Linked DNA regions of Rattus norvegicus. The protein of the gene in region 2 purifies or fractionates together with the protein of the main gene of each other region. This does not show direct contact. Links are inferred from orthologs where the notes say so. Each region holds a gene or a part of one and is shown on either strand. Other genes may lie near its edges.

Region 1 (5,797 bases), on a different chromosome or scaffold from region 2:
GTAAAACTAGCTGGCTTTTCACATCCTCAGATTCACCTGTTTTTACCGTCTTCTCTTAAACCAAGTTTTATGGAGCACATTAGTACCGTGTTGTCTCAATGCTTCAAAGGTGCTAAGAAAAACCAGCGTTTATCCAAAGCCCTGAAGGAAATTCCCCCTTTGTGCCAGTCTCTGAGTAATAATGGCTTTGGCAGTTTTCATAGGCCATTAAAAGTTCCTCGTGATATTAAACATGGGACCTCGAAGTCGTTATTTGTTATTTACAAATTGTTGATATTGTGGATACTTAACATGTGGCAAACACTTGAATCTAACCACTGAACCAGCTCTGGGAGCTGTGTGTTTCTTGTCTATTTTAGTGTGTGTGTGGTGTGTGTGTATGTGTTTGTCTCTGTGTATGTATGTATATGTCTGTGTGTGTGTGCTTATGTGTGTGTGTCTGTGTTGTCTGTGTCTGTGTGTGTATGTATGTGTGTGTCTGTATGTGTGTGTATATGTGTGTATGCGTGTGTCTGTGTCTGTGTGTGTATGTATGTGTGTGTCTGTGTGTCTGTGTGTATATCGTGTATATGTCTGTATGTGTGTATGTGTGTATGTGTGTGTCTGTGTGTGTATGTGTGTGTGTGTCTGTGTGTATATTGTGTATGTGTCTGTATGTGTGTATATGTGTGTGTCTGTGTGTGTCTGTGTGTGTCTGTGTGTGTATGTCTGTGTGTATGTGTATTTATGTGTATGTATGTGTGTTTCTGTGTATGTCTGTGTGTGTGTGTGTGCTGGGGATGAGAGCCTCCTTTATGCTGGGGAAGCAGTCTACAACTGAACTACATCCCAAGCCCCACCTCCACTCCCCACCATTTATTTCTCCAGGCCTGCTCCCATTGATGCAGTCTGATGGAGAGAAGTGGGCCCCCAGCACCACCTCCAGCTGGTCTTCAGAAGCTTCACCTTTGGGGTAACAGAGGAGAGGAAACATCAGGGTTGGGGTCCTGGAGGTTGGAGGTCAGCAGTAGCTCACAGGGAAGGGCCAGGAGCTCTGTTTCCAAGTCCTCAAACCCTCGACCCCCTATTTCTTGGTTTTCCCTCCCTGTCTCAAAGTCTCAGCTGCTAAAGGACCTTGGGCTGGATGAACTGGCTCGCATAAAGGTCACTGACTCTCAAGGGCACTTGAGTGAGTGGTGTCCCGGTGTTATAGGGTTCCCTTGGGAGAAGACCCACCCGAATGGGGGTGGCAGGAGGTATCCATCCCTTGTAAAGGATGGCTATCAGAAGGTAAGGTCTTACTCAGAAGGGCAGAGAGAACAGTGGGGCCTTCCAACAGGAGCCAGGAATCCTGATTCTCCAGAGCTCTGCCTCCCAGCATGCATAGTTCTGTGACTTCTTTCTCACCCCTGAATGTGGTATAATCTTTGGGGTCAGTCCGAATGGATGCATCAGAATATCTAGAGCTTGCGTGGTGGTGCACACCTGTAATCTCAGCATGTAGGAGGTGAGAGGATCAGAAGTACAAGACCAGCCTCCTCTAGAGAGTGAGTTTGAGACCAGCCGGCTTGGCCTAAATGAACCCCAATTTCAAACAAGACAAAACTGTATGTTTGGGAAAGGGGCCCTGGGAACGAACCCTTTGAAACCTGAAGCATTTACAGATATGGCTTCCCGAATCCTCAAGGCTTCTCTTTCCCTATGTCAGAGAAGGCATTTTTACTCCAAACTAATAGCTGAGGAGACAACCAAGGCTTAGAAGGGGGGTTGTCTGACACCTGCACCCCACTCCCACCGTTGGTGGGCAAGCCGTGGTGGGTAGCTGGGGTATCTGTCTGGAAGAGACAAGATGAGAGTCAGTGGGAGGGACCGAGGATCAGAGCCCAGGCAGGGTACAAAAGTACATTTGGTTTCCCTCCCGGTTTGGGTTGCCTGGGTAAACTTCCAAGACAGTGAGATTAGAGGGAACTCTAGAGGGACAGAGAGCGCTAAGGAACAGAGTGCATCAGATACTGCCCTCCCTCCATACCCATGAGATCGGTAGTTTGTCTTCATTCGGTGAATTTGACAACAGGCTTGGAGGGGTTAGTCCACCAGTCTAAGTTCACCCACTTAAAAAACAGAGGAGTCCGAACTGGAATTCTGTGGATTCTCGAACTCTTAAGTGGTGTTAAGTAGGTTTGGGGCGCCAAGCTGTTGGGTCCCGGGCTACAAAGCGTTAAAGAACCTTGGCCCTCTCCTCTCTCCTCTAGTTCCCTCCTCCCTCCTCCCTCGCCGCTCCCCAGGCTCTTCCGGTCCCGCTCTTGCAACACCACCCCCGCCACTCTCCCTTCCCCTCCTACCTCCTCTCTCCCCTCGGCTTTAATTTTCTCCGAGTTTTCTGAACTCTGGCTCATGATCGGGCTTACTGGATACGAGATCCTGGAGGACCGTACCCTGATCTCCATCTACCTCTGACTTTGAGCCTTTCTAACCCGGGGCTCACGCTGCCAACACCCGGGCCACCTGGTCCGATCGTCTTACTTCATTCACCAGCGTTGCCAATTGCTGCCCTGTCCCCAGCCCCAATGGGGGAGTGAGAGAGGCCACTGCCGGCCGGACATGGGTCTCCCCATCGTGCCTGGCCTGCTGCTGTCACTGGTGAGATGGGAGACGGGAGGGAAGAAGGGTGGGCTGCTATCGAGGCGCGGCCTGGCAGAAGTAGGCTTGTACTTGGGGAAGGGATGGGGGCAGGGGCTTGTGTGCTTCAGTTTGCCCCCGAGTTTGCTGGGCCTCACCTGGGGCTGCCCTGAGATGTAGAAGGGAGAGATCTGAGAGGGAGAGAATTCGGCAAGCCAAGCAGGCAAGCCTTGGGCCTGACAGCGGAGGTCCTGGCCTGTGTTGGGCTGTGGCCATGCCAGCTGCCCGGCCAGTGGACTTAGAGGGGGCAGCCCTCTTTCTCTGGCAGAGGTTGAACAGCATGGGGCCGGATGTTGGAAGACTGAGCAGAAAGAAATCCGTTGGCGGGACAAGTTTGGGATAGCGTGCTTGTTGGGAGTGGACCAGAAACTGGACAGAGCTGGGCAGCCTCCCGGTCCCAGACTTCACCCTGAGACACCTTTTGCCCTTCTGCCTCCATTTCTGCTTCCAGATACGAGGTCTCCACTGGCCTGACCCTTCTTAAGTAGCTAATAACTCTTTACCTGGGCGACGTATCCTTTAGCTCCCTCCCCACAGACCCAAAAGTCAATCTCACAGTTTCCAATTCCACAGTTCCGATTGGGGAAGTTGGTGGCAGCTTGTTCTCGTCACTGGAAAATGTACTTTTCTCTGGCCTTGGCCCCGTGTTCGTGTTCCCTTGATTTCTGTGTGTCCATAATCATTCTGTGGGGATCCTCCGGGGCTCCCTGGCTGTCTGGGTGGGCTGTACCACCTGCACGGTGTCTCTGGTCCTGCCTCTCCCTGGCCCAGCGCTGCCCCTGAGACCTGCCTTTTTCTCTATGCCCTTTCTCTCTTCTGGTCAATCTCCTTTGTGCCCATTCCCTTCCTTTTCTCTAGGGTCCCAATCTAAAGCGGTGTTCCCAGAACCCTGTACCGATCCAGTCTGCCTGGTCTTACCTCCCTTCTCCCTCTCCTGCCTTCCAGCCTCACCTCACAACTTGTCAAGACTGCCCCTTCTGGCTATCCTCCAGCTCCCCATCCACTCATTTCTTTTCTCTTGAGGGGTAGATCATCTGGATTTAGGGCTCAGCCCAGCACCCTTACGGACATGTGATGTGACTCCCCTACGCTTTTGTTTCTCCATTTCCAAAATGTCTACAGTGATCAGTACCCCGTCGTTGTCAAGATTGAGTAGATGAATGTGTGTTGAATATTTATTAGTTTATTAATCTCCTAGGCCCAACTTCGGGTGCTAGGATCAGTGGCGAATGAATCAAGTTCAAGTTGGTGGACCCAAAGGGGAATGTATGCCACAAACAGAAAGGGCTCAGCGAATGCTTGGCTTCTCTTTCCTCATCTCTAGCAGTGTTAGTGTCACTACTCAATGGCCGTCCTCCTCTGACAGGCTGGGTAGAGGAGACATCCTGACTCAGTGGAGGAGGCCCAGGTGGTGACGGGGATACTGTGAACAGAAAGCAGAACCTGAAGACCAGGGACACGGAAGGCTGTCCCCCGCCTCGTCAGTGCAGAGCATAGGGCTGTGAGGTGTGCAGGTGATGATGAAGTGCTGAGGTCATGAGGCAGCAATGGACGTGGCAGGGATGTGGCAAGGCCAAGAAGACTTTGCCACTTTTTAAAGAGTTTGACTACAGGAGTGAAAATGACTCTGGCGTGATGTGATGTGCTTTCCTGGAGGCAGAGCTGGGGGAGGAGGTTGGGCTATAGGCCAACACTATCTTCTTGCTTAATGGCTTTTGCTTGTCTGCTGGGCTGAGCTTGCCTGCAGAGACCCGAAGGCTCATAGTGTATTATCTTTGGCTCACAGAGAGCTCTTGAAAGTGTGAGCCTTGTCCCATCCCCAGCACCTATCTGGGCCCTAGAAAGGAGACCTTGACCATTGACTAATGGCTTAATCAACTAAGGAATAAGAAATCGGTCAGATAGGAACAGGGGAATGTTGTATAGAAAAGAGGGCTTGGGACTGGCGTGCAGAAGCCAGAAGGAGGGAAGACAGAGGAATTGAGAGCCTGGATTAGGGGAACGGAGAGGTGGGACTCTGTGTTGGAGGTGGTTACAGGAGGTGAATGCCTCAGCTGGGGTGGAGTGGCCATGTTGAGGAATGTGACAACTGGCACTCTGGAGTGTGTGAAAAAGAACCTTGGGCCAGTCATGGTGGTACATGCCTGTTATCCTAGCACTTGTTAGATGGAGACAGGAGCTCAGGTCATGACTGGGTTTGGCTAGACAGGGAGCTTGAGACCAGTCTGGATTAGAGACCATGTCCTAAAACATACCAAAAAGAAATAGAGTCGTGCTTAAGGACCTAGGTGAGGGCCCGTTTTCCTCCCTCTCTTCCTCTCCCCCCTCCCTCCCTCTCTTCTTTCCTCCTTCCTTCCTCCCTCCCTCTCCTCCTCCCTTACTCCTTCCCTCCCTCCCTCTTCTTCCCTCCTTCCTTCCCTCTTTTTCTTCTTTCTTCCTTCCTCCCTCCCTCTCCTCCTCCCTGCCTCCCTGCCTCTGTCCCTTTCTTCCTCCCTTCCTCTCTTTCTTCTTTCCTCCTTCCTTCCTCCCCCTCCTCCTCCCTTCCTCCCTCCCTCTCTCCTTCCCTCTTTCCTTTGCTATTCTCCAAGCAGCCTGGCCAGACTGTGTTCCAATAACAGTGAGTTTCTCAGAAGTATGTATGTGCTCACAGAAGGATTTATCCATGGAAATGATTCTTGAAGCCAGACCCTGGAGGTGCAAAGGAAGATTCATAACCCAGTGGTACAAGTTGAAGCCTGAATGTAGATAAGAAACTATGTGGGTAGCCTCAGCCCCTGCCAAGGTTTGAGACAGGCACATCCCTTGAACCAGAAGGTTGATGTCAGCCTCAGCCACATAGTGAGGCCCTGAGACACCACTGTGGAGTGGTGTAGGTAGGAGGAAGGCAGTTGCAAAAAAATCAGTGCTGGGGTGTGGGGTAAAGGGTGGAGAGATTCCAAAAGGACTGGCAGGTGACTCTTAGGGCTGCTGCAGAGTTTGCAGCCTTGGTACCAAGAAGTTGGTGATGTGACATCTAGGTGAGGAGCCTGGTGAGCTCAGCTGGAGGCAGGTGAAGTAGGTCGCTGACTGGCTAAGTGGAAGTGTGGTTGTGCTGACTGGAGCAAGAGCTCTCTCAGCCTTTCTTCTAACTAATGCCAGC
Region 2 (5,948 bases):
TGATCTTGTCATTACTCTAATCTGTAGGTAAAAGATCTTAGTCACCTCGACTCCCAGGATACTAGCTGGCCCTGAAGATTAACTCACACTGGACTGTTTTAAGTTACATCACTTTTAAAGATTAGTCTAAACAAGAGAAGGAAGGCGGAGCGTGGGTACTGAGGAGGAGGGGAATAACCCATGCTTTCAGTAATGCTTGTCAGTGATCCAAGTCTGTCTCTCAGCGACAGGTACTGCTTCACACAGCCAACCTCACATCCCTCTGATGTCACTCATCAGAGTCCCAAGTCTAGGCTCACTGAAGACCCCCACCATTCAATCCTCCCTCTTGACTCACGTCTAGATTCAGGTCATTCGAACATCCCCTTTCTCGATGCTGCAAAGGCAGCAAGTAGTTTTGGAAATCCCGTGTGGCATCTAGCTGCTTGCTTGGTATTTCCTCTTTCTTATTGACCCCAAAGACATGTATAAATGCTCGGTTTATGATATTTATAAAGAGCCGATATTTATAAAGAGCCGACGCCAAATTGTTTTATAACCAACAACGGAAAAAAAAAAACAAAACAAAAACAGAAACAAAAACGAAGCTGATTTCTGGCCAGATCCTTCACAATCTTAAAAGCAAATAAACGTCAGCTGGATTTCAGAACCTTGCCACTGAACCTCACAGCGTGAGACAAATGAACAGAGGGATACTAAGGTATATCACACCTCCCAGAGAGGTGGGGGGGGGGGAACAGACACCAGCGCGCTCTATGACTTTAACTCAACTAGACCAACTTTTATTTATGGCTGCCCTTCCAGATCCCAATGCTCAGAGACCTCAACACCCTCCTTCCTTTACCATAAAAGATCGAGCGCAATCAAAGGTGGAGGAAATGAAATCAGGAAACGAACAGGAAGTATTGGAGTGGGGTACCACTCAGGACGAAGACTGGCCATATGACCACCCACGCCAACTATGCACGAATGTGGACTGATGATGCAGAGAGACCAATGTGGATCAATGGCCATCCAGGTCTGCTTCACTGTCCTCACAGACCCTCCTTGGGCACTTGACCACACATCCTAATTTCCTAGAAGACAGAAATGATATAGAGCACCTAGGAAATTTCTCAGCGAAGCTTAATGCCACTCCGGCACCATACTATCCTCCAATGCAAACTCACCAGGTTAAAATAAAAACGGTGTTAAGACTATGCAAGAGGGAAAAGAAATCGTAAGTTCTTGTTCCCTGCTTGGAAGGGAGGGGCTGCTCCTGGGAATTTGCATTGGGATGCTGAGGCCTGGAAGTTATTCTCTGTGCCTGATGACAGTTGCGCCTCGCAAGTAGAATTAGGCAGAAACATAGACAGAATGGGACAAAACTACCACACATACATCTCCTTGGTGATATAGCATGGTCTCTCTCACAATGTCATCACCCCATCCATGAATGGATGCATGCAAGCAGCAAGGCTGGACCACCTATTTAAGGCCAACCCTTGTGCCTGATGCGATAGCTAAAAATGTATGATTTCACTCCTAGCCTTGATATCTGTCAGACAACCCCTGCAGCTAAGGCAGTGATGGTCAGACCCATCTCAGGTCCAGCAGACGTAAGGATGCAGCTCTGCTCATAAGCCAAGTCTTCCTATTCCCCATCTCAATCCCTTGCTGGTCTCCTGATAGCAACCCTGGCGTACAGCATTTGCAGCTCTCAGAAACAGGCAAGGAGAAGTTTTGCATCAGTGAGCTGCACCTTGTTCTATTTTTATGGCTATTCTATTTTGCTCTTCTGGACCTCAAGAACTTTTAGCATAGATCTAAAAGTGGCGGGGGCTCTAAGCCATATGTAAGACATGCAAAGGTCAGTATCTGTCAGCCCACTAAGACCCCGTTCACGGACTCTGCCTTGCACTGCGTGCAAAAGTGCCTATTTAAGACAGAGCTTAAACCTCCCTCTGCCCAAGTTTCCAGTTCTTGGACTTCCCCACATTTAGAGAATAAAGTTTCCTGACATATCATTGTAATGTTTTATGGGTAAAAAAAAAAAATTAAAGCACTACCCTTAACTTTTAAAAATATATTTGTTACCTCACTCCCTTACAGATAAATTTCCCAATTTTTGTCACAGGATCAATAAGGTTCTTCAGAACTTACTCACCAAAGTCTTTCCCCCACTTTTATTTTTCCACTCTGAACAGATTTTTTTTTTTTGCCCGCGATGTGGAAACTTCTGTATTATTTATAAACAGATACCTCGGGCAATTGTTGGGAAGTACCCCTCCAAAAATCTATACAACGAGCTGCAAAAGATCCAAGTAGCATATCAGACCACAAGAATGAGCCCTGATCAACCGATAATAATCTGCTCAATAATCTAGGACATCAGCGTATGGAAGGCTAATGAACAATAATCAGTTCCAAACGGTGCCCCCCCCCCTCCACTTGACCAGACCAGCTTTCCAAAGAAAGATGAGAGAACAGGAGAACTAAAAACAAAGCATGCTCCAGAAAGAGCTCTTAATACCTCAGCTTTCCTGAGAGGCCAGGTGGCAGGATGTGGGACGAAGGACCCGGACTGACAAGTCACAGTCTGAGTGTGGAGTCAAGGCTGCAGTAGGGAGTTTTACATGCCACCAAACGTGGACTCCCCAGCAAGCAGGCCAGAGAATCATTTCTGCATGCATACTCTTATACCGGAGCAACTAGGGCCTTAGTGGCAATCTCAAAGCACGCCCCTCCCCTCCACCTCCCTCCCCGCAACCCTCCTCCCACATTGATCACTAAAAAGTTGGCTGGCTGAAGCCTCCAAGTTGGATTTGGTGGCCTCTGAGAAAACCATCCCCTGTTGGGCCAGTAATGCACAATATGGGAAGAAACCCCAGCGCGACTCTGCAAGGTCTACGTGCCTATGAACATGCTGCACTTGATTTCCAAAGGGGGGGCTGGAAGAGTGGGTACACCCACGACCACACGACCTAGGGACCCGAAGGGTGACTATTCATCAGCCAGCTGCAGCTCACGTCACCCTGCAGGATCGGAAAGGAATAGCTAGCTAACCAGACGGCTGGAGAAACTTAGGGCTGTCAACCTAAACACTTGGCACCCGGACCTCAACTCTGGCCAACAATACCCTCACCCCAGAACTCCTGCAAAGCCATAGCAAGACAGCTCCATACTGAGCTGGCCGTGCACCCTGAATCTGGCTGGCACTGCACCCCTCTGGCCGTGCACCCACCCCCCCTGTATCCTGCTAGCCGTGCACCCCAGCCGGAGTACTGCTCACCTCCTGGGGCCGCACGGAGCCCTCGCAGAGCCCAAGTGGCCGATCAGCCGTCACTGGCGCGAGCCGTAGCCGGGGGTCGTGGTTCGGGTCGTGGTGGGGGTCGGGCCGAGGCGGAGCCCCATGGACGCCCGGTCGGGCTCTCTGGTTGGGGGTGTGCACGTCTCTCGGCGGCCTAGCTCACCGCTCCGCCTCCGGCTCCGAAGGCTGCAGACTGGGCAGTTCCCTTTTTTTGCCTTTCAGTTGTATGCTTCGCCACAGGGGGATTTCCGAGGGACTTTCCAGTCACGTGACTCCCGCATGGCGAGCGGCCGGCCAGCAGAGGGCGCTCGAGGCCGTCCCCGCCCCGCCCGGAGAAACTCCTAGGTCCCGCCCCGGGGTGTCCCCGCGTGAGTCACCTGGGCATTTCGGAAGCTGCCTTCCACGTCACATCCATGTGGAAATAGTGGTGATGGGAACTGGAAATGCAATAGGTTCTTTTTTATAGCCTCTTTTCTGAAGAAAATCAGCTGTGAAAAGGAAGGGAAATTAGAAAGAAAACCCTAAAAACCACCCAGACACACAGGACCTCAGGCATGAAGCCGGCTTTGAAGTCTGGGCTGTGCACGTGATGGACTTAAGAAAGAACCGTTCTCAGGGTCCTGAGGGGATTGAGAGAAAAGGCCACAGGGTTCTCCAGACCCTGTGTCAGCTTCAGGCTGGATGCAATGCAGAGTGAGATGAGACACCATGATCCTGCAGTTTTTGAGTTACAGGGGCAAGGTCAAATTCAGAGAAAATTAAATTCACCTCCATCACCCCTACAACCCTCCATTTGCTCCGTTTCTCCTTTATTTCCGTGCTCCAAGGAGCATTAAGGTTTAGAAAGTGCTTCAAGTTTATTACTGTCTCCCCCCATCCTCTACAGTTGTTTTCTTAGGTGTTGTTTGGTTTGCCTGAGAATTAGTTCACCCCAAGAAGCCACTGGTGGAGAACCTTCCATATTGTCCTGATCCCCGACTACAGCTTGCCTTTCTCTAGAAGGGAGAAAGCTTCGGACACAGGGGCTTGAGCTCTGCAGAGAGAGAGAGAGAGAGAGAGAGAGAGAGAGAGAGAGAGAGAGAGAGAGAGAGAGAGATGCTAAAATGCTTTTACCTTCTTGGAGTTTTTCCTCTAGTGTCCCCTTGGCCGAAATCCTAGAAAACAGTAACGCAAACCAGGCAGATAGTCCGTGCCACTGTGACTTTAGGTATGTTCGTCAAGTTGCCAAGTTGCCAGGAAGTATACTGCACGTTTGAACTAGAAACATGTGTTCCTGTCCCCAGGAGTGACTGGGCTAGGTGACAGAGCACAATGGCATTTTTTAAATTATTATTTGTAAAGGGGGGCTTGAAGCAAGAGTACTGGCCACTACTCCAAGATTGGTCTATCCGCTAACTCCCCCCACCCCCTCCACATATCCCTCCACCTCCCCCCGACACACACACACATCCCTCCCTACACCGTTTCTATTTCAAATCTGGTAATATTTGTCTTCTTACAGATGTTTTCAGCTTCGGACACTCAAACAATGGTAGTAATTTAAGACGACATTCCTGAAGTATTTGTTACAGGTTCACATAAACTTTTATGTGAAATTTAGAAAACTTAAGCCACATGCGCCCACAGTCTACACAGTTTTTAGAACTGTGTCTGTCTTGTTCCAAAGCCCACCAGAGAGGGTTAACCACGTGACTATCTCAAGCCTAGGAATCTCTTTGACAAACACAGTAGCCTAGCCACAATAGATGCAGGCTCCACCCTCAGGAAACCACCAGGGCACACAGAGGTGATAAAAGATGCAGACTAGAAAAGCACACCACCTGGCAGAGGGTGTTAATCCTCAGACCGCTCTTCTAGGCCGGCTTCTGCAGACAGAACCAATCGGCTCTCTGTCATCTCAGACGGTTCCTCAGCAAATCCAGCAGCCTCCATGTGCCCATCCTGCTTCCTGTTTGGCTTCTAGGGTTGCTGAACTGGGGATTCAGTAAAGAAGAATAGCAAACCTGGAAGGCCAAGCCCAAACCTGTCATTCTCACTATCCCCACAGAACTACTGCGCCATCTTGCCTGCCAAGATTTGAGATTGGGCAGATGAAGAAGGTGAGCGGTAGGTGGTAGGTTTCTCCGTTTCCCACAGCTGAATGGTGCAACTCATCGATGCCTGCCAACCTTCCCCACTCTCCCCAAGTCTCCCCAACCTACCCTAGCCTCACCCAGCCTCCTCCAGGTCTTCCTAGCCCAGAGAAAAGTGTCTATGCAGTGAATGAGAAGGAAAAGACAGAAGGGGAGCGCATAGGAGTGCCTCTGACAGAAAATAAGGACACCTCAAGTCTGGGGAGGTTTGATGAGTGCATTGAAACTAATAAGAACCTTTCTTGATCAGAATAAAGGTTTGGAAGAGATTCCAGTTTCTGCCATAGATCTTCTCTAGATGTGCCGGGATCTGCAACAAGGGAGGAATATGTGTGGAAAAAATAGTGGAGTCATGGTAGAGAAAAAAAGTCTCTTTATAAGAGGAGAGAGGCATTCTAGGTGTGCAGAATGTTTTTTTGAGAATTTCTGAGTTTTGTATCATTGTTACCATGCCAGAATTTGTGTTATAACTGACTGTTGGTCTCTAGGAGCTAAACCATGGGATGATGCCTATTACCTGTATGAAC

What was found. Proteins that work in one complex are often made in the same cells at the same time.
Region 1: the proteins of Tnfaip3 (region 2) and Tnfrsf1a purify together in Homo sapiens (affinity purification with western blotting; 7 studies listed by BioGRID, with this or other methods). This does not show direct contact. The link is inferred for Rattus norvegicus from reciprocal best matches to the Homo sapiens genes TNFAIP3 and TNFRSF1A.

The regions. Positions count from the first base shown.
Region 1 is NC_086022.1:159,834,775-159,840,571, forward strand, and holds the start of Tnfrsf1a (tumor necrosis factor receptor superfamily member 1A precursor), read left to right. Parts: upstream 1-2,344; 5' UTR 2,345-2,580; coding exon 2,581-2,619; intron 2,620-5,797.
Region 2 is NC_086019.1:15,540,496-15,546,443, forward strand, and holds the start of Tnfaip3 (TNF alpha induced protein 3), read right to left. Parts: upstream 3,485-5,948; 5' UTR 3,272-3,484; intron 2,717-3,271; exon of another isoform or gene 2,513-2,716; intron 2,289-2,512; exon of another isoform or gene 2,147-2,288; intron 2,136-2,146; exon of another isoform or gene 13-2,135; coding exon of another isoform or gene 1-12. UniProt on the Homo sapiens protein: Ubiquitin-editing enzyme that contains both ubiquitin ligase and deubiquitinase activities.